Linked DNA regions of Schizosaccharomyces pombe. The protein of the gene in region 1 binds, or shares a complex with, the protein of each later gene. Each region holds a gene or a part of one and is shown in the gene's direction. Other genes may lie near its edges.

Region 1 (9,359 bases):
ACGTTTGAAAATATAAAATCAACAATAACTTACTTAAAATATGGTTAAATCGCGCTTCATTAAGGTGGTAATTGTATTGTCATAATAACATATTAACAAGGCATAAAACAATTATACAAGAATTATATCTGCTTTGACTATTCAATAAAAAAAAACATATGCTAATATTTAGGTAAGCATTTATTTGTTTACAAATAAATTGGCTGACACCCTTCCCATTCGTTTAAAAAAACAAACCTCATTTGTTTATAAGCCTTAGATTGCATAACTAAACTTAACCAACAACACGTACTTCTGTAGAAATTATAAGCAAAAGCTTTTCTTTTACAAATTTTTTGGAAGTACAACCTAGCTGTACAGGGTTGCAAGATCGAAACATCGTTTAGCTAGAATGTCAATTTTGAACAGCGGTTCATGCATGATGACTGACACTAATCAAAATATGGAATGTAAAGTTGATTTCAAGAAGGGTGAATTCGATTTGCAACCCTTGCAGATCAATCAATTTGGCTTTACCAAGACACAATTACACAAGCCGTTGACAAGAAACTTGTCAAATAAGGAAGACACACATGTGCCGAAAAGGCAAAAAGTGAGCGAACCTTACTTCAGAGGTGAAACCGAGAGAAATGTGAAAAGTCATCAAGATCGTGCCGCTTCGATTTATCATGAAGCAATGAATGGAGCTTCTGGAATTCATAAACAGATGAGTTTACCAGAATATAGCCCTCAAATGGGTAATTCATGGGAAATCCAAGTTCCAATGACCACCCGTCACTCAATTTCTGAAACCCCTACAAAACCTTTTACCGCGACAACAGCTATTGCTGGGTCAGCTGGTTCGCTTCCCAGAAATACTACAATAGGTTTGCCAGGACCTTCAGCTTTATTGAAACATGAGTCGGGTAAAAATGAGAATCAAGTTAGAGTTTGTTTATACCATAAGCATTATTCGAGATGGTACTTGCCTTTCGATAAAGACGACGATAATCAGTTAGTGGAGGCGTATGCAAAATACTTTAGCAGTGAAAATCGACCATCTATTTTCTACGTTTTACAAGGAATTTCATTTGGACCTGAATGCGAATACGTTTTGCGCCGAAAGCATTGGTGGAATCCTTGGGCAGAAAAGGTGATGCGTAGAGAAATAGTTGAACGCAAGATTGATACACATCCTGGATGTCGTACAGTCGCAGAACGATATGAGCAGATAGAAGCAAGTGGAAGTGAAGAGTTATTAATTATACCGATATATAAAATAAATATGTGGGTTTTATCTCTTCTATTATTTAGCGCTGGCGGATCCGTACTTATTGGTCTATGGATGAGACTCTCTGACCCATCATTCGCACATGGAATGTTACTCAATTTGGGAATCGGAAGTATAGGTAGCTTCCTTTATCTACTCTCGAATACTTGGTGTAGATAAAGTGGCATTTAGTACCCACATTTCCCCATTGCTTGCTTTTTTACGGCAGAGAACATGAATAGACTCATTTATATAGATCTCCTCTTCCTTTTTAATAACATGTACATCTGTACCATCGATTGTCTTATATTCATTATTCCATTCAATAGGTGAAGAAGTAATTATGTGGCGCTCGACAAATTTAAGAATATTGTCCTGGGCTTGTTGCTCAGTAATATGAACTATGTCAGTGGATTTAACGGCAACTCCATTTTTGTATTCAATTGCCCAAGGTTTGACTTTACACTGTTGAAATGCAGCATCATTAGGGACCAAGACAGTGATATGCTGATCTTTTTGTTGGAAGAGATGAACATAATCAGGAAACTGCATTATAAGCTCAGAAAAAATGTTGCAATCTCTTGTTTCGGCAAGCAATTCAAAGAGCCTTGGTTCACGAACTTCTTGCATATTGATAGGTCTTTGGTTAAAAGAGAGTACTGCACTAATAAAACTCGTAGTATAAAGGAAACGAAAGATGTTTAGACAAAACAGCTTCATCATTTTGGAGGGTGTTATTAAAGACACACTGCTTTAACAAATGGTAATCTTAAAAAGAAAAAATCAATTGGCATCAATTAGAACTACTTAATTTTTTTCAAAAGTTAAATAATCCAATTTTGTAAACGTAAGCGACTTGGTAATAGAGGAAAAAAACGCCTGTTTTAACAAAAACAACGATTTGATGAACGGTAGATCTTTGGTTGTTGTTACGACATAACAATTTTTTTTTTTTTTTTTTTTTTAAACACGATTAAGAAGTTTTTAAAATTTAATACTTTTTTGTTTTCTTAGTTTTTCTTAAAAGTGATAGATATTTACCTAATTATAAACTATTGTTTTTTACACCATGTATGTAATTAGACACACTCTTAAACCCAACTGCTTTATGCAATTTGATTGTAGTTTATTATGTATAGAAGATACTTGTAGACGTTTGGTTAGATGGTAATCTTCATTATTTTCTGTCACCATTAGTTCCATAAACATTGTGTTCAAAAAATATGATTCAACCATAATACTATATCACATCGCATAACACAACCCATCACTTGTAATATTTATTAATGTTATTTTCTTAAGCTATTTTGCTATTGAAACAAAGTAATCTAATTTACGTGAGTACCCCAAAAAGTAGTCTCCTTATAAGTGGAGAGTGTACGCCTAACAGCGTCTTACCTAGCACACACTTTAACTTTGGCAATCCGATTTGCAACTCATGGACGAAAGCTTCTGTCTAATGATTATGTTGAAATGATGGATTTGTCTTCGAAAGATGCTCTTTCGGACGTTTTAAAAGATACGCACGCACAATCATCTGACCCTTCGTTGTGGGCCATATTTGGTCACCAATCTTCTGACAATGTACATGAAGGAGGTAACGAAAGTGTCTCCGTTGAGCAGGAAATATTTGATTTGAGTCAATTGAGTGAGAGACCCGTGTCTGAGACTGTTTCTAAAGCCTCTATTCCAACGAATATCAACGGTTTATCCCAAGTAAAGCCATCAGCTTTAGAAAAATCCCAGGAGGTGCTATCTTTGCAAAAATTACCTATAAAAGGGCGTAGACCTGCTGGTCGTAGAGGTCGACCAGCTCTAAATACTTCTAATTCTCTTGAAAGAAATGGTACGCGCTATGTTTCCGCGGAGGCTCCTATATCTGTTAAATCCAGCATCCCTGCCATACCGCGTGTCACTTTCGAGAGACTTTGCTATGAATCTGCTATAGCTAGTAATCTTCCACCAAATGCTCTCTCGCCTCTAGAAGCTGAGATGCTTTCTGAAATCCTTGAGAATCCGACATGGCTTTCTCTTTATTTAAGTATACGAAATGGCATTTGTTACCTTTGGCATAGAAACCCGACTCTTTATGTATCATTTAATGAAGCTCTTGGTATTGTTCGTGAAAAAAAAGCATTTCCACTGGCTTCTCTGGCATTTGAGTTTTTGTCTCGTAACGGTCACATAAACTATGGGTGTATATATATTATATCCTCCCTAAAATTAGATGAATCTCTTTCCCAAAAAACTGTTGCTATTATAGGCGCAGGCATGGCAGGAATATCTTGTGCTCGCCAGCTAACCAACCTATTTGCTCAATATGAGCAAGATTTCTTAAGCCGGGGAGAAAAACCTCCTCGCATAGTTATATACGAAGCTAGTGAACGTTTGGGTGGCCATATCTATACCCATATGGTTCCATTGAGTGATAATGAAGTTAGTGAAAAAAGTTCTCTAGCTACAACTGTGAATGCCACAAATGAATGTATGGTTAACTTATTGACCGATTCTTTAATCGGAATGCCCACGCTCGACAGTGACCCCTTATACATAATTTCCTCACAACAGCTTTCGTTAGATGCAGTACATACTAGAAATAGAGAGTTTATCTTACATGATATCGAAAATGGAAGAATTGATACCGAACATGTTCAACGTATTTTTCGTTTATTTGATGCTTTACTTTTTTATTTCAATGCTTCAGCTAGTAAACAGCCCCTTCATTCGTTGATTACTCCTCCTGAGCAAGAATTCATTCAAAAGCTTGACCAAATTGGTTGGTATATTTCAATTGAAGCCTTTCCTTTACAAATAAAGGACACTTTGTCTGAATTTCTTGGTAATTCGGCTAACACCCTCACTTCTTTATTGCATCTTACTGTTTTAGATTTAAAAATTTTTGAATGGTTTAAGGAATACCTTTCACAATCACTCTCTGTTTCTCTTGAAAATGTTTATCCGGGAAGCATTCCAAACCTGAATTTATTATTAGGTGAAAATGTCGCTTCATATTCCTTCAAACATGGAATGGCGGATATGCTAAACTCCCTTGCTTCAACACCTTCTCCACTTCCAATTCTTTTTGACCAGTGTGTCCATACTGTAAAGCTAGAAGATAATACGGTTAACTTATCATTTGTAAATGAAACAACAGTTTCAGTCGATAAAGTGGTTATATGTATACCTATGGACAAGCTGAATACCCATTTGATTACCTTCGAGCCGCCTCTCGAAGAAAAGAAGCTAAAGGCTATTGATAGATGTCATTTTACCAATGTGAAAAAGGTTATCCTCATTTTTAAAACCCAATTCTGGGAACCAAACATAAGTATATTTGGTTCACTACCACAAGATTCAGGTAGAAACTTTATATTTAACGATTGCACTCGATTTTACGAACATCCCACATTATCAGTCTTTGTGAAGGTTGAAGGGATCGACTTTATGAAGGATGATGATATAGTGAATGGGATTGTATCTCAACTTAAAAAAGTTTATAAACCGAAATCAGAAGCCATAAATCCTATTCGAACGATTATCAGTAACTGGGAGAATAATTCTTATACAAATCACTCATCATATCAAATATCCAATTTGTTTTTGGAAGAGGATTATGCAATATTGTCTGAGCCCATTGACAATACTGTGTTTTTTGCTAGTGAAGCAATTTCCCAAAAAAATTCAGGTTCGATACGCGGCGCATTTGATTCGGGCATACTGGCTGCTAGAGATGTTTTGGCTTCGTTAATAGGCAATGTTGTTTTACCTAACACTCTCGTTATTGAGGAAAACTTGGAACAACCCCGTAAAACGTACGGCACGAAGCGAAATGCTCAACAAGCTTTAGGCAAAGAGGGAGAAAGAGAAAATAAGGAAAAGCGCATTTCATACCATACCGAGTATTTACGCTTGAGACAAAAAAGACTTGATAAAGAACAGCAAGAATGTGATTTACTAATTGCCGAATTATTGGGACCGTCTCCTGTTCCACCATCAAGGCCTAGTGCTAATCCTTACCTTTTGTACCAAAAAACTCAATGGCACGTTTGTAAAACTCTAGCAGATCAGGATAAACAAAGAGTTACTGGCGATCCTGAAGCACGTGCCACAAAAAATGAGATACGTGCAAAATTGGGAAAGACATGGCGAGCCTTGGATAGTTTAGGTAAACAACCATGGGTTGATGAAATTAACGCGAGACGAGCAAATTATTCAACTCGCCTGGAAGAGTATCAACGTCAAATTAATTCCTACAATGTGAGAGTTGCCCAAATTAAATCCGAACATCAGCGAAGATGTGAATCTCAACCAATTCCTGAAGATGAGGCTAAGTTAAAATTACTTGCTGAACAAGAGGACGAACATCTACATCCTGAAAAAGAGGGCATGTCCGTTGAAAATAGTGATGATGATTATCATGATGATTTAGATTATGAGGATTCAATAAGTGAAGTATTCCCTGACAATTTCTCATGAGCTTCATTTAAAGTTTTTTTTTAAGGGTAGTTTATATGAGATAAAGATCAATTTTTACGTTTAAGTTATAATGGTATACTAAATTTTATTTTTTCATAGAAAGGAATGACATTTATGAAATGCATATCATCTTGTAAATCCACTTGTCGAAGCTTCCTAACCACCATAAACCCAATTCTCTACGATTTGCTTGGTTATCACATATATACGAGCTCTTTAGAGAAATACTAATATGTCAAAAAAATATGGCGGTCAAATTTCGTTTGATCCACCAGCTAGGTTGGAAAAAGATCAAGTCGTCGCCAAAGTTGTGCAACTTAAAGGATCTGCGCTTTTTATGGTAGTAGAAAACAATGGACAGGAATTACTTGTTGAGATGCCTCCAAAGTATCGTAATAAAATATGGGTTAGGAGAAATGGGTTTGTAATAGTTGATAAATCTGAGTTTTTAGAGAAGGACAATAAAATTGACGGTACTATATTGTACGTGGTACAAAGCCCTTTAAAAAATTGGAAAAAACAAATTTATTGGTAAGAAATTCTCTTGAAATAACATTAGATGATTGTGCTAACTAGTTTAAAGGCCTAAAGAGTTTGCAGATGAATCGTTAAATCAAAACGATTCTGAGGAAAGCAGCAGTAGCGAGGAAGAATACGATAGTGACTAACAATTTACAAAAAATACATATATTAAGAATCCTTACAACGAACCTTGTAAATTAAACCGATGATAAAAAGCGTATAACGGGAAATGCTTGCAAGAATTACTTCATCCCACAATCGCTCATTACAATTGAGTACTTTGTTACACTTTAAACAATCCAATGAGAAATACTGATATTATTACCCTAACATTAAGATATTATACTAACCTTTTCATTGAAACTGAAATCACCATGCATTAGCTTTATAGCAATCCTCACCATAAAAAGCAATGACAATCGTGCGATCATTAAATTTACAACCTTTCATCTCTTCCATTGCGACCTCTGCAGATCTGATATCGGAGTATCGTACAAAAACCTTTCCAGTTCCTAATCCCGAGTTTCTAGTGCCAATACTACGAGGAATTTTTATATCTATAAGTGGTCCATAATTCGAAAATTGGGTCTTTACAGACTCATATATGTCTTCATATTCTTGTACATCCATAATTTCGTCCCCAGTAATTAAATTATGTAATTGTAAGACTCTAGTTGGAATAGATTGTGATGACGCCTTAGCAAGTTCTGTCAAAATGGCCATTCCATTAGACTTATCTATCATAGCTTGATTGAGACCTACACAAGCAAATTGTGCGTGTAACTTGTTCCCATACGTATCTTTACCATCAAGACCGCTGATAGCTACTTCCGCATCAGAAGGATTTTTAAATTCGCAAAAACAAAAACCCTTCGAAGATCCATCTGCAATATTTTTTATCAATTGAAAGCTTAATAAATCACCGAAAGGCTTAAGTAGCTCCACCACTTGATCTTCGCCTAAATTTAAAGGTAAATTTGAAATGTAAATTTTGTCTTTTGAATCTAAAACGTCGTTCTTGGCATAATCATCACTTCTTTTTTGAGAAACTTCGGGGGTAATTTGAGGGACGATGTAATTTTGAATTCTTTGAAATTTTAAAAAGACATCATTAGAATATGATTCGGACTGAAGCCCCCAGAGGAAGGTGGCATCTTCAGGAGTAGCGACCTCAAGAATAGCAAAGTTTTCTTCTTTACAGACGTTGACAGAGGAGAAATGCTTTGTCTCGGGTTTATGGTATGTAGTTGAAATAAATAGATCTTCGATAAATGATACAAAAGCATCTTCAACGAATTCGTTAGGAATTCCAGTAACCACTAGTCGACGAGCCTGTCTGCTAGCACCTGGTTGTAAGGGCGGAGGGGGAGCAATAATACTTCCTTCCGCAGAGCGAGCAAATTCTAGCAATTTCTCTGGATCAGTAACTGCAGCTCTAGGAGCGCCTGGCAAAGGAAAAACACCAGACATTTTCGCCTGGTCAGCAGTAACCAATTCATAACCAGGTGGTTTAATGTCCCATAAAGAGCGCTTCCTTTTCCACTGATTTATTGGTGTTACATCTCTCAATTGTTCGAGTTCCTGTTCGATAGACCTTACGCTTCTTTCTCGGCTGGGAGGTGGACTTCTACTTCTTCCGACAGATGAATAACGTAATGATCGAGGCTCATAATCATCATATCTTCTTTCTCTTCTTGGCCTCTCATCCTCTCGATAACTTCTTTCACGAGATTCTCTATGTCTACGAAAATCACTTTCGTCTCGGCGACGTCTTCTAGGTCGTTCAGAGCCATAATGGCCTCTCGGGTCTTCCCTTCCTATCCCACCCGAACCTCTTTCTCGTCTAGGTTCTTCATCGCGATAATCTCTGTGTCGCTTGGGTATCCGTGAAGAACCTGATGATAATCTGGAAGACAAATCCATGTTAGTGAATGAATATGAGGCTATTTAAAAAATTATTCAAAAAAGAAGGGAGGGAAGAAATTCGTTTATTAAAATGAACTCTTAAATTCTCCGGAAAAAACTTTGATGAAAGTAGGGAATACAAAAGTACAAATTCTAATGAAATGATATGCGCGTCAATGCTCTTGGATTCCTTGCTAAAAAAAATTTATAACATGAACAATAATAATTAACTTATTTTTTCTTTATGTGATACGCCCAAGGTTAGTCAAAAGTTTCGACTTACTAAGTTAAGGTAGTGAGAGTTTGTAGTAACTTCGCCAGCGTCGTAATTTTAAGCACAACGTTGTTGACTTACATTTTCTTTTTAGTTTCAAATAGCAACTTTCGCTAAACTTGCATTATAGACAACACTGTAACTTACGAATGCAGTTAAATTTTCAAAAGCATTTATTTAAACTGTTGTCCTTACCCTAGTACCATTCTCCTAAGTTTTAACGAATTTTTCTCTTTTGACCATAGTATTTGATTGTATGGCTTTCTTTTAAAGCAATCTTTAAAAATTTACAGCTGCCATGAAATTCAATAATTTTCGTTTTTTTTTTGCCAGTACATCCACGATAGATTTAATGTTTGTCTCATTTTATCCTTGAAATCCATGCTCTTAAATTGTATGTTCAATCTTTTAAAAATTTACTTTATTACACAAGAAGACGTTTACATTCATTCAAAATTTATTATTATTTATTTTCATACTAGCTTTCCATTGTTGTAAAAGCCGCTCTTTTTTTTAAATATTTGTTTACTTACGGCCATCATCTTGTGCACTTATTCAGTCGCGCTGCTGTGATATCTAAAAATTCATGAAACGATTCTTTAATGAAGCGTGCGACATAAACACTCCAGATAAATCTGGGGTAAACGAGAACAAGTTATGTTTCCCTCCCTTAAAAGTTGTATGTCAAGCACCAGAGACAACAGTTAAAGGACAAGTTGCCAATACTAATAAGCACAATGTATATTCTACTAAAAATTCAATGTATCTGCTGGGGTTCGAAGAAATCCTAAACACCGTCCTCGATTGTGAACCGCATATCTTTACTGATGATGAGTTGAGGGTTATTGAAAACTTTAAAGCTTTAGACTCGGATGAACGGTACTTGTTTGTTCGTCTATTCATGCGTAAAAGAAATAAATGGTTCCGCGTGGG
Region 2 (6,351 bases), on another chromosome or scaffold:
CCCTTACAGCCGCTACCTGGAGCGTCGCGAACAGCGATGGAAGCTTTTCCTTCAAGAAAACGGTATAGACTATATACACCAATCTCCTAGTATTTTTCCTAGCCGCAGTGCTAAAACTCAACGATTTATTCGCAAAGGAATACCACCCGAGTATCGTGGCAATGCCTGGTTTTATTACAGCGGTGGTTACGAATTACTTCAGAGAAACCCTAAACTGTACGAGACTCTATGGCGTTGTGCGTGCATAAAAAAGCCCTCAGATTCTGACCTTATTGAACGTGATCTATATCGTACCTTTCCAGACAATGTACATTTTCGACATAAATCCAAGCATTCTAGGAACTCATCCGACGCATCAGAGCATTCATCAGAGGAGCCTGATGTTCCAATGATTTCAAAACTGCGTCGTGTTCTAATGACTTTTGCAACATACTTACCTGAAAATGGTTACTGTCAAAGCTTGAATTTTCTTGCTGGTTTCTTCCTGCTTTTTATGAGTGAAGAAAAGGCGTTTTGGATGCTCGTAATTACGTGTCGTAAATATTTACCAAAGATGCATGATGCCAATTTAGAAGGTGCTAACATCGACCAAAGTGTTTTGATGGCATCCGTTCGAGAAAGCTTACCAGCGGTTTGGAGCCGCATCAGTCTTAATTTTGATGGTATACCCGTCAATGATATTGTGGCAAAGCTTCCTCCCATTACTCTCGTAACTGCTGCCTGGTTTATGAGTGCCTTTGTTGGCATTTTACCTACGGAGACTGCTCTTCGTGTATGGGATTGTTTTTTCTATGAAGGCAGCAAAGTTTTGTTTATGACGGCATTGTGTATTTTAAGACTTGGTGAAGATGATATAAAGTCGAAAAGTGAGCAGACAGAGGTATTTCAGGTGATTCAAGATTTACCCAAATCGTTACTTGACGCTAATGCATTTCTCTCCTTGTGTTTCCGAAGGAATTTTAGGCGCACTCCCTCCCAAAAGGATATAGAGCGTCGAAGAGAAAAGGTTGCAAAAAAGCGTAACTCTTCTGCTTCAAAGCTTGAAATGAGTGATTCTTCGAAACATCACCTTAGTCGTTCATCATCACGATTCAGCAAGTCGCATATAATATCTCAGCTTCATAATCACTTGAAGAAGTCTACTTAGTTATGTCTGTTTACCAATTGAGTTTGCCCATTGTCAAACCTGTCAAACCTTTACTCTCGTTACTAATTTTATGAATGCCCTTGTTCGTTAAGAATTTGGTTGATTGGTTCAGATTTTTATTATTTTTTTACATTGCTACATTGAACAGCCCTTATTCTATTAATTTTGAAATGTTTGTATGAACGTCGTTCCATCACTTATTTGTTCAGCAGATTATTATTTTAGGTAGTCATTGACTCCACTATACACTCGTTTTATTCGGGCATATGCCATTATTTTTGCAAATCGATCTATTTATATGTCTCTTTTGTATAATTGCCTCTTTCTTGTTTGCATAACAATCGATTTTATCTCCCGTTGACACTGGGAATCGAGTCACTAATGTCGGCATGCTTGATATTATTAACATAGCATTATAAGATCACTGTTTTATCATTTTTTGTAGTTAGCCCTCAGTCTGTATTTTTATAAATCATTTGTTGCTAATTCGTTTCAACAGGAAATTGTTTTTAATGTTAATATAAAGTATGAACAATTGATATATTAAAGAAAACACTAAGCTGACCGATGTTTTGTAAAGTATGTATATAAATATATATAAAATTAAAGTTTTCTATTGTGTAATAATAATATGGTTAGTGAAAAGGGATTAAGTAAAGAAGCAACTAATGAAAGAATTAACAGTAATTATAATTAAAATCTTAGAATCTTAAGGATCGATGTTCGATAGAAAACGATTAATTAATGGAGTTTCTTCAAGTATTATGAGTCCCTAAAGGATGAAAGGAGTTATGATATAGTGAGAATAATCAGTTTGTTTAAAATAAAATATCCTTTTCACACATAAAATAAAAAAGCACTTAGTAAATGATGCTTTAGCGAAACCTATTTAATGGTTCGAAACTGCGTTGTTAGATAAAAATTCACAGTTGAGAAAATTGGGAGACGCAACATAGGTAAAGCCTTGAAAAGCAGAGGAATGGCTACCAATTGTTAAATTCCCAAATTCTTCATGAAGAATGGGTGTTGTAGAAAGAGGCAATTTGGTAAACTCGACTGAAAAATTCTCCGCAGCCTCAGGATTGGTGATGCAAGGAACAATTGGGGGAGGCAGCATGCGCTTCTCTAACTTATTCCAATCAATTCGGCGATAAATTCTGTGCTTTTTTATTGCATCGTAACCTTTCTCGGGACCATCTGCGCCGAGGCGTTGCTTTGGATTTTTCTTGAGAAATTTGTTGATAATGTCTCTAGCATCAGAAGTCACATAAAAAGGTATGTTAGGCTTTGCACGAGTGATTTTTTCCATAATTCTCTTATGATTGTTGGCGGTGAAGGGGGGAGATCCTGTAAGAAGATCGAATATGAGGATACCCATAGACCACCAATCGACGGCATGATCATATGGCTGCTCCAACAAAATTTCTGGAGCACAATATTCCTCAGTGCCTACAAAAGAACGACAATCAGCTCCATTTTCAGCCACCTTTGACAATCCAAAGTCTGTAAGAAGGATATGGCCTTCAGCATCCAAAAGACAATTCTCTGGCTTTAAGTCCCGATACACAATACCAAGTTTATGTAAATGTATCAATGCTAGAGTCAATTCAGCAGTATAAAAAGCAACCACATCCTCAGGAAGCATCCTTTGCTCGGCCAAATGAGAAAATAACTCTCCTCCAGGTGCATATTGCAATATCAGATAAAGACGATCGTGGTCTTGAAAAGCATAATAAAGGCGACAAATGAACGGATGTCGAACCTCTTCTAATATCTGTCGCTCATTTTTGGTTTGTTCGAGGCCCTTGGCACGAAGAACAATGCTAGCTTTCTTTAGCTGTTTCTGAGCAAACAGTCGTCCAGTATTTTTTTGCTTCACTAGGAGCACCTTTCCGTAAGAGCCACGACCCAATACCGTTAAGGGTTGAAAGTCTGCTGGACGCATCTTTCCGCTTGGTACATAGTTGTCACCCTTGGAAGAAATAAAATCACCATGGGCAGCAACCTTAAACTCTACCGTCCCCTTTTCATCTTTGGCATTCTTTCCATCCTTCAAATCACTTGACGAAGTGATTGTCGACGCAGATGCCTCCAATTCTTCAAAATCATATCCCTCCTCTGCAATCTCATCGTCACTAGACAAATGGGAATTGTAATTCTCATTCAAATTGTCGTGCTCATCAAACATAAAGACAGGCATCTTTGAGCAATTTGTACTGTGAAGGATCACAAGTTTGGCATATGTATGCCCAAAATGCCTTTTCCTTGTTGTTTGGTAGACGAACAAAAGACTGCCGGGATGTAGAGCAAGAAATTCTCTTTGTCATACCTCATTTTGTTGATTCAAAACGCATTGCTGATTGGCCAATTTAGTAAAGTTTAGATATATATAAAGCTTTTGATTCGCCCTCTTTACTAATTAAAGTTATCAACTTACTACTTATTGGACCGCTTACATAGGCTATTGTGCGTTTTACTTTAAAATTTTTTTATGCCGAGAAGCTAGATTAGTGATGATTAACGTGTCTTATACGATGTGCTTTGTGCATTTTAACGAATGAAAATGTCTTGTTGCTTATGTTGTTACCGTAATGTAAGGCTGGCTCTGTAAAACGATGCCAGTTTTATATGGCCTATGCATACCTTCTTCTTGAGACGCGCGTGTTAAACTCATCTTTCGTTGAATGGCGAATTTACATCAATGAATTGAGATTTAGGAAGATTTACTTTTTACATAAAGTTATTCTATGGTCTCAGATATTTTGAATTAACATTCACTGCGTGACAATTGCGTGTATCATCATTTTAATTTGCGTTTCATGTTTGCTAGTTTCATCTAATTGTGCATTTCGTTTTAAATCAAAATTTTCCAAATTACTCATATTTATTAGTCCTCGTTTTTTACAATGTCTCAAAAGAATTTTTTCGACGAAGGAAAGAGCTATGGTGTAAATGACTATGCCGGTTTCCATTTTGAAAATGGTGCTGATTCATCCCTTCCTCAGGTATCGGCTCAAGGTGTAGTTAGAGAAACGGACAGCTCGAATTTTGATGCTTCCCCTGTCGCATCGGGTTCTGGAATTTCCGATGTTGGACCATTTGGCGCTGATTTCCATCAACTGCAGCAGCATGTACAGACACCGTATGGCGGTATGACTATGCCTGCATCTTCCTCTTCAGGCGCTACTTCAGTACCACCGGAGCAAGATCCTTCTTTGTCTGTATCATTCAATCGCTTGCCCAAGTCTGCATCAACCAAGACTAAGAATGGACGCATTCGATCGTCTCGTCGGGAAGACGATAATCGTATACCATTTTACGATCTCGATGTTGCAGAAGGTGCCGAGGATGATTTACAGGAAGACTTTCACGTGGAAGGAATGAAAACAAAATCGGGTAGAAAGATTCAGCGGCCAGTCGCATACAATCCTAATGCCACCGCATTGAAACGGAAAAGTCGCAAGGTCGATATGGTCACCTTGTGTAGCGTCTGTCAACGAGGACATTCTCCTTTATCTAATCGAATCGTATTTTGTGATGGATGCAATTCTCCATATCATCAGCTTTGCCATCACCCTCCGATTGACGATGCAACCGTTCAGGATGTGGATGCTGAATGGTTTTGTATGAAATGCCAGTACAGGCGTGCCAAGCAACCTTTAGAAACGGGAATGACGGCACAAGATCTTGGGTTAAGTGAATCAGACAAAAAAATGTATCTATCAAGTTTACCTACTCCTCATCTCGCAGATCTTATTCTTTTTTGTGAAAAGTCTTATCCATCTCTTCCCATATACAACCCACGTACTCGGGAGTTGTTGGGTGAGATTCGGCATCAACTACTTGTTAGTTCTGAACGCCAACAAATATCTTTACAAGAGCGACTTCATGCTAAACAAGATGAAGCTCCCTCTGATGAGCCTGCACCTGTCCCCTATACCGCAAGTTATGTTGCGAATTCTGGAACCTTATACGACTATCCAACGTTAATACGGTTAGCTATTCGTAACACCCTCTCACCTTCCAAAGATGAAATATTTAACTGGCTTGCTCAAAACGTACCATTGTTACCAACTTTTCACGACAGCGCTTCCGAGGCCATTCGTTGGATGGTAAATAAAGGTCAACTGGTCCGTTCCGGTAGCATCTATCAAATAGCAACAGTCGAAGAATACCCTCACCTCCAACCCTCTTTACTTCCTACTTTTCAACGAAACCGTAAGGTACCTAAATTGGTGCCTGTCTCTTTCCCCACCGATGATCCTCAAAATTTATGTGCTACTGTTTTATGAAACTGAACAAATTTTTCTAAATGTATAGACAAAAAAAATTTCTTTACTTCCCGTTTTTAATTAAACGGTTGCGTCCCGTTAATCTCGAAATAAATTTATAAGCGGTCGAAAGCAATGTATCATTACACCATGTATTAGCTGCAAATCAAAGTACTTTAGTATTTCCTTCATGGATTCAAACTTTTCACTCGATAACAAATCTAGGGAAAATACATAAATCGCCCTACACACTTTCTGTTTACATTATAAACTTTTCGTTTGGAATGTTTCCTCGCCATGAAATCTTAAAATAAAATAAAATAAGGAAATGAACAATTTCTCAATTTAGCAATAATTAAGAAAGTCAATGAAGTATAATAAAAAATAATTATTTTTAAAGTATGACTTACAACCATTATTATCGGTCAATGTCAGGGTGTTACAGCGCACCTTCTACTTACCACCAAAGATGAGGTCCACGTTGGCTAGCGCTCAGAAAGCAGCCGTACGTATTCCAAAGGGCTTTGTATTTCCTGTTCCAAAAGTAAAAAGTGCTCCTAAGGTTTCAGACACGCACCCTTTGTGGAATTTCTTTCGGGACAAGCAAGCCCTTCCACCACCATCGGAAGAGGCTAAATTCGGTAGAGCATGGGCTGCAGAAGAGCTTCGTTGGAAGTCTTTTAATGATCTACATGGACTTTGGTACAATTGTCTCCGAGAGAAGAACCTATTGTTCACACAAAGGGCTGAAATGAAACGCTTACAGTTGACTATTCCCAAAGCCTCAAATGAGCGTGTACTTGCAGTCAATAAAACCATGGCAGCTATCAAATTTGTCCTATGGGAACGCCAAAGAGCATATACTTCTGCCAAGCAGCTCGAGAAACAAAAGGGATCTTCTTAAACCCCTTCCTTTTAGGAAAACAGAAAATC
Region 3 (6,067 bases), on another chromosome or scaffold:
CTCTAAGATAGTATTTGTCATACATGCAATTTCCTAAACTGTTTCCAAAATTTCGTAGAGCGCGTTTTAAGGCATCTGTAGTGCCCTCTTTCTTGCATTTCTCAAACGCTGAAGCCTTTCCACGGCAATTATCAATAGAACCGTATCCAATATCTTCATGATAGGCACCATCTTTGATTGTCACGCGAACAATCACGCTCAAGCCAAGACTGATACGTCCATTTTCCTTATTTTCGTCCATAAAGTCAACATTAATGCTGCGTATCGACGAAGACCACCCATTAAATCCAAAAATTTCGTTCGCAAGCTCAATTGCTTTCCAAGACTCAATATAACTGACTGAAAAACCCCCAGGACCTGACCTTCTTGAAACGTACTCAGGTCCAAGCTTTCGAGTTAGGGAGCTTTGAAGAAAGTTAAACTCTTCATGAGAATACGCTGTGTTAAAATGGCCCTGGTCTTCTGATGCTACATGCTGTTTTTGCTCAAAAGACATCCCTTCTAGCTTATATGAAGCAGTATATTAGCTGTGTGCACATGGACAGGTACCAAGTAATAAAGAAAGATAAGGTAGCATAGCGAGTAACCACTTAATGAAAATAAAGATCTTACAAATCATCAGTAATGAATATTACTTAAAGAATGTAGATACAAAAATAAAAACAAAATTTTATTTGAATTAAAGGATTTTCGTAATTACTAATCAATTAATCCCTTGGTCCAATCGAATTTTTCAAAACGACTGCGAAACATATCTTCGCGTGGATCTTTTTTACCTGTCCAAGAACCTTTCCTTCTGATTACTTCAGGAGGAAGGTTTAGCATACTGGCAAATACCTGCCTAGGAACTTGATCGTGCCTCCCCCATGCCTTCTCGTCTTCCACGACATGCCCGTAGCCACCATCAATACTGAACCAAACATGAAAATAACCCAATTCTAATCATTAGTAAAATAAATGATTACGATTTTCCAAACATACCCTTAACCATCATTTTTCGAAAAGCCCATTTTCCATACTTCTTCGAACCTTCTAATGTATCAATAATTTTTCGATGTTGAGACCACTCCTCGTCAGAAGTAGACAAAGCTTCACGGAAGTAAGCAGGTGCAAGTGAGAGGATCCTTTTAGAGACTGGAATACACTCAATAGCTGTGTGCATATATCTTTGTGGTGAAGGCGCGTTTTCATAAAAAATAACACCAAGATTCATGGAATCAAACATTAGGGCGATGCATTTCATAAAATTCTAAAAAGGTTTGTTAGTTATTTCCTTTTACTATATTAACATACTCTGATTTCATCCCATTCATCCTCATCACAGCTGAGGGTATTTATCCGATGTCCTGTAGGAACAATTAAACAATGATATTTAGCTAATTCGGGTTGAGTTGGTAAAGAAACATAAGCACGATGACTTAAAGATATTACTGGTGCCAAAGGTTGTGTTTCATAATTTAGGCAAAGAGGACAAGTGTCCAAAACATGATTAATTTTTTTAAGATCCCCACCACTACTAATTTGAGCTAGACTGACGTCTCCGCGCTTCATTCGATTAGAAAGTTTCCCTGCATTTTCGTCCAAATAATCCAGATTGTTAGAATAAGTTTTATCCTTTGCAATCTGCTTTGCGTATTCATAATTCTGGCCGTATTTCCGTTGTTTATTCAACAATTTTTCTTCCTGTACCATCTCATCAATAGTAGGATCGTCGAAGTTTCTTTTTTTTGATGGTATGGTTGCTTGCGAATTAGAATTTTCCGAAGGGTGTAAAGAGTTTTCGAAGTCATCACAAGCTTTCTGATATTCCCTTTCTAAAGACTCATAGTTAGGATCCTTTTTAAGTTGAGCACGTAACAAATCAGCTTTTAATCTATTCAAATCGCTTTCAGTGGGAGTATCTTTATTTACAGAAGGGTCAGGTATTACTTTGTAGTATGTAGCGCCATTACCAGAATCTTTTCTAGTCTTAAATTCATCAGCACATCGTTTTTCATATAATTCGCCAGTAGGAACTTCTTTCTGAACTTTTCGAGTTCGTTTTCGAAGCTCTAACTCATCTCTTTCTTCCAAGGCAAAATCAAATTCTTTCAATGAACCATAACGTTCCAGAGCTACTTCTTCAACGGGGCGTCGTTGGTCTTGAGCCATGTCAAATACGCGTTTGAGCTTCATCATACGCCATCGAGAGCCATTATCACCAATTTTGTAATTAATTCCTGACTCATTAATTTCGGTTTCAAGCTGTTCTATATCTTTATGTTCTGTACTCGTCGAACTCTCATTCTGTAATGTTGCACCAACAAAAATTTCACCAGGCTTATTGGACTTTCGGTCAATAGGTTCTCTTTGTATACGCGAACCGAACGTACCAAAATCCAAACCTTGCAATGAATTAGTAAAGTCATTATTCTGTGGATTGTCTTTGGAGGATGGCATGGAAGAAGCAGAAGCGAATTTGGAGTCAAAGTATTCATTTTCAACAGGAAGTTTCTTTACCTCCAATGGCTCTTTACTAAATCTTTCATGCCTACTTCGGTCACCTGCTTCTCTAGAGCTTGGCCTTTCACTGCGATCATGTCGTCCATGCTTGCTCTCACGATGCCTAGAGTGGTGGTGACGATGCCTTCTAGAGTGATTTGTTTCTCTGTCAGTTTCATTGAATTTGTGAGTACTGGTCCTATTTGTAAGCTTTTCCTTTTCCATAATGGACGTTATTTTAATATTAATTCATGAAATAAATAATTTTTAACAATAATTAGAGGCAAAATGGTGGGAAAAAGGAAATAATGTTTTTATTGTAACTTAACGATGGTAGTAGTACATTCGTTAAGTCAAGTGGTTCAGGCACTATGCAGATCTAAACAAGCAACGCAAATGATAGTTTTGCCAGGAGTTTAGTTTAGACAATGATCAGAATTCTCTTTTAAATTAAAAAAAATTGTAAAATATTGCGTTGAAATGGAAAGAAAAGAAAGTGAAACAATTAAGTTTGAAAGAAGGAGTATCGGCCTTTGCAGTATTCCACATTGACAGTGAAAGGCGATACAATAACTTTAGGATTCCAAAATATATACCACTAACTTCAAACAAAAACCTTTTAAATAACGCAAGGACTTTAGTAGTACTAAATTACCCATTGTTTATTTGAACTTCATTACAAATAAGTTGGAAAGAATAATAAAATACCTCGCGCTAACTACTGTATAGTGTGTCTTGCGCTAGTGTACAATGAGTTTATGATACTAGCAAAGCTACACAACAGCCACAGAAAAAAAAGCATTGTTTGTTTCCAAACTGTGACGATTTTTTATACCTGTATTTCCAGTGTAATTGGATCATTGCAATTATATTTTCTTTAGCAAAGTACTAAAGAAGTCTGTTTATCGCCTTTAATAGCATACAAGTTCAATCAATTATAGCTGTTAGGCCATCTAGGAAATATAAACAAAGGAAAGACCAAATTTTCATTCATATTTATAGCTATGACTAGTTAATGCATGAATAATTAAATTTAACAAAATTAAAAATAAAAAAGCTCTAATAAATGTGAGATTTCAGCTCTTCATGGATACGTGCAGTATTTATATATGACTAGACAGTGAGTTGTAGTGAGAAGTGAATAAGCGAGATATAGTGATGATCAATCTCATTTCGCTAGCAAAACATAATTGGAGTAACAGCAGCAAACGATTTATAAGTTGCGTTAAATCTCACCTAAATTCCAAACACGCGTGTTGAACTTACACATTCGCATTTTTTGCCATTTGCTTCATTTTTTCATTTGTTTTTTACATGAGCATATGAATGATTTAAAACCTAATGCCGAATTCATCGTACTATGACGACGATGGCGGTTCTTTTGAAGCGGCATCATATCCTTTTCAATTCGACGGTAGTCGTCGATTTCCCAATGATTTGCATCCAACGATGTTTGAGGGGGAGGAATCTAATCAAAATGGAGGCTCTGTGCTAATAGATCAAGCCTTTCAGGATATACAAAATCCTAACGTGAATTCAAACATGCATTTGGAAAATCAGTTCCAACACTTTCACGAGCCAAACAAGGAGTCAGGTGCTTTCGGTTCGTACAAAAATGATGATGTTGCTAAAGAAATAGAATCTAGTAAAAATCAGGAAACCGATGCAAAAAGCGAACAGGCACCTTTCACTGAAGACGCATCTTCATCTAATTATGCGCATCATAGAAGTGCTGATTCCCAAACAAAATCTGCGTTACCCCCAAATGTTCCTGCAAGTTCATCGCCATTACCTCCTATGTCAATTGCTATGAACATTGCTCGGAAAAGATCATGGCCTGCCAGTTTGGCTATTGAACGTGACAACACCGCTGACGCCCTCTTTTCTACTGAAGATGGTAGGGAAGAGCAATTTAATTTGGAAGGTGTCAAAACAAAATCAGGAAGAAAAGTGCATCGCCCTAATCATTTCGATCCCCTTGTAAAATTACCTACTAGACGACGTGGCCCAGGTCGTCGACCTGTGGTCGCATTAGCTATGAAATGTTCGGTTTGTCAACGACTTCAATCTCCACCAAAAAATCGCATCGTTTTCTGTGATGGTTGTAACACTCCATTCCATCAACTTTGTCATGAACCCTATATTTCTGATGAACTTTTAGATTCCCCCAATGGAGAATGGTTTTGTGATGATTGCATTAGGAGAAAAAAGCAAGCGCCTCTCGTAACTGGAACTACGGCACGAGAACTAAATCTGTCTTCGGAAGAGAAAAAGTCTTATCTTTTAAGTCTTCCGATCTCCCAACTGGTTGACATCCTATTATTCTGTGAGCAATTACATCCCGACATCCCGTTCTATAGTCCTAAAACTTCCACTATTGTCCAAGAGCTCCAAAGCAAAAGGTCTGCCTTTACAGCTACTATGAATGAACCTGTAACGGGAGATCAGTATCTAAGTCTAAATAATGGAACAGAATCACAATCGAAAACAACCAAGCATTCGACGTCCTTACCTTCGACCGAACCAGTTGAAGTGGATAAGCAATACATGGAGAGTGAAAAAATTCCTACCATAGATGAATACTTACAAGAATATAGCAATGAAGATGAAATAGTTTTACAAGTTTTAGAATCTTTCCCTGCTGCTGTTTCTTTTTCTACTATCACTAACACTATTCAAGCGTAAGTTTTCTATATATTTTCCTGACATCGTCAATTACTAATATTCTAGTAAATACTCGAATAGAAAAATTAAAAATTCGAACATAACTCGAAGCTTAAACAGACTGGTCCGTAAAAACCGTGTTTTACGTGATGCGAGGGGTAGCAGCTATGAACTGAACAGAACGTTTGATGCCGATCGACCATCAGTGCGCCCTGACATATCTATAACCGGCCCCATTCCTATCGATTGGATGCTGTATACGCCTCACACAGAGGATTTAACCGAAAACTTTTGTACTTATTATATGTTCGACGAAACTCCAATTGTTCTTAGTAGTATTTAACGAGTATCTTACATTCTGCATTGTTTGTTGAAGGGTATAACAACATTAATGATTTCAATTTATTCCAAGATTTAAAAAAATTATTAAAAAGTAAAGGTAGAGGATATTATAACTATACAGTCAGTAGCAAAAGGTTCTTGAATATGTTTAAAGACGGAGTTGTAAAGAATAAATAATTTTGAGTAATTCATGTAAATAAATAACAGATTTATGTTGTCCAAAATTTACGGTCCTAAAAATAAATTAAACCAGATCTTCAATATCTTGTAAACTTTGTTGGGAGAAATACTGGGATGATTTTTTTGCAACTCGCTTTGACCTGCGCAGTGACCTAGTTTCTTTTGTAGTTGAATGGAATGCGACAGGTGGCTTCTGATCTACATCAATATCAGCGGCTGGTTCTTTTTTCAAAGGTTCATTCATGTGTGATATACTATCAACAGGGTCCAAGTCCTCAAGTTTTATAAGTGATTTATCTTCGATGCTTTGGTAATACAAATCATCTGTAGGAAGGGAGAGTGGAGATAGAGGAGGTGACTCAGAAGCAGGTCTTTTTTTGACTCTTTTAATCGTTTTGAC

Evidence for each region. Proteins that work in one complex are often made in the same cells at the same time.
Region 2: lsd1 (region 1) and phf1 share a complex: the UniProt entries of both Schizosaccharomyces pombe proteins name them as parts of the SWM histone demethylase complex.
Region 3: lsd1 (region 1) and phf2 share a complex: the UniProt entries of both Schizosaccharomyces pombe proteins name them as parts of the SWM histone demethylase complex.

What each region holds. Positions count from the first base shown.
Region 1 is NC_003423.3:1,012,366-1,021,724, reverse strand, and holds lsd1 (histone demethylase SWIRM1), read left to right. Parts: upstream 1-2,483; 5' UTR 2,484-2,722; coding exon 2,723-5,725; 3' UTR 5,726-5,789; downstream 5,790-9,359. Other genes in the region: protein mug97, read left to right, coding at 392-1,429; protein mug57, read right to left, coding at 1,403-1,972; tif1102 (translation initiation factor eIF1A-like), read left to right, coding at 5,958-6,256, 6,309-6,393; prp2 (U2 small nuclear RNA auxiliary factor small subunit, U2AF-59), read right to left, coding at 6,617-8,170; fan1 (fanconi-associated nuclease 1), read left to right, coding at 9,013-9,359. UniProt on the Schizosaccharomyces pombe protein: Catalytic component of the SWM histone demethylase complex that specifically demethylates H3K9me2, a specific tag for epigenetic transcriptional activation, thereby acting as a corepressor.
Region 2 is NC_003421.2:456,064-462,414, forward strand, and holds phf1 (PHD finger domain-containing protein Phf1), read left to right. Parts: upstream 1-3,804; 5' UTR 3,805-4,053; coding exon 4,054-5,439; 3' UTR 5,440-5,851; downstream 5,852-6,351. Other genes in the region: GTPase-activating protein Gyp3, read left to right, coding at 1-1,147; serine/threonine protein kinase S6K family Psk1, read right to left, coding at 2,037-3,347; mrpl4 (mitochondrial 54S ribosomal protein uL29m), read left to right, coding at 5,888-6,322. UniProt on the Schizosaccharomyces pombe protein: Component of the SWM histone demethylase complex that specifically demethylates H3K9me2, a specific tag for epigenetic transcriptional activation, thereby acting as a corepressor.
Region 3 is NC_003424.3:1,101,042-1,107,108, forward strand, and holds phf2 (Lsd1/2 complex PHD finger domain-containing protein Phf2), read left to right. Parts: upstream 1-3,726; 5' UTR 3,727-3,822; coding exon 3,823-5,162; intron 5,163-5,211; coding exon 5,212-5,488; 3' UTR 5,489-5,567; downstream 5,568-6,067. Other genes in the region: DNA recombination mediator Rad52 (previously Rad22), read right to left, coding at 1-496; protein Cwf19, read right to left, coding at 700-938, 982-1,249, 1,294-2,706; nth1 (DNA endonuclease III), read right to left, coding at 5,732-6,067. UniProt on the Schizosaccharomyces pombe protein: Component of the SWM histone demethylase complex that specifically demethylates H3K9me2, a specific tag for epigenetic transcriptional activation, thereby acting as a corepressor.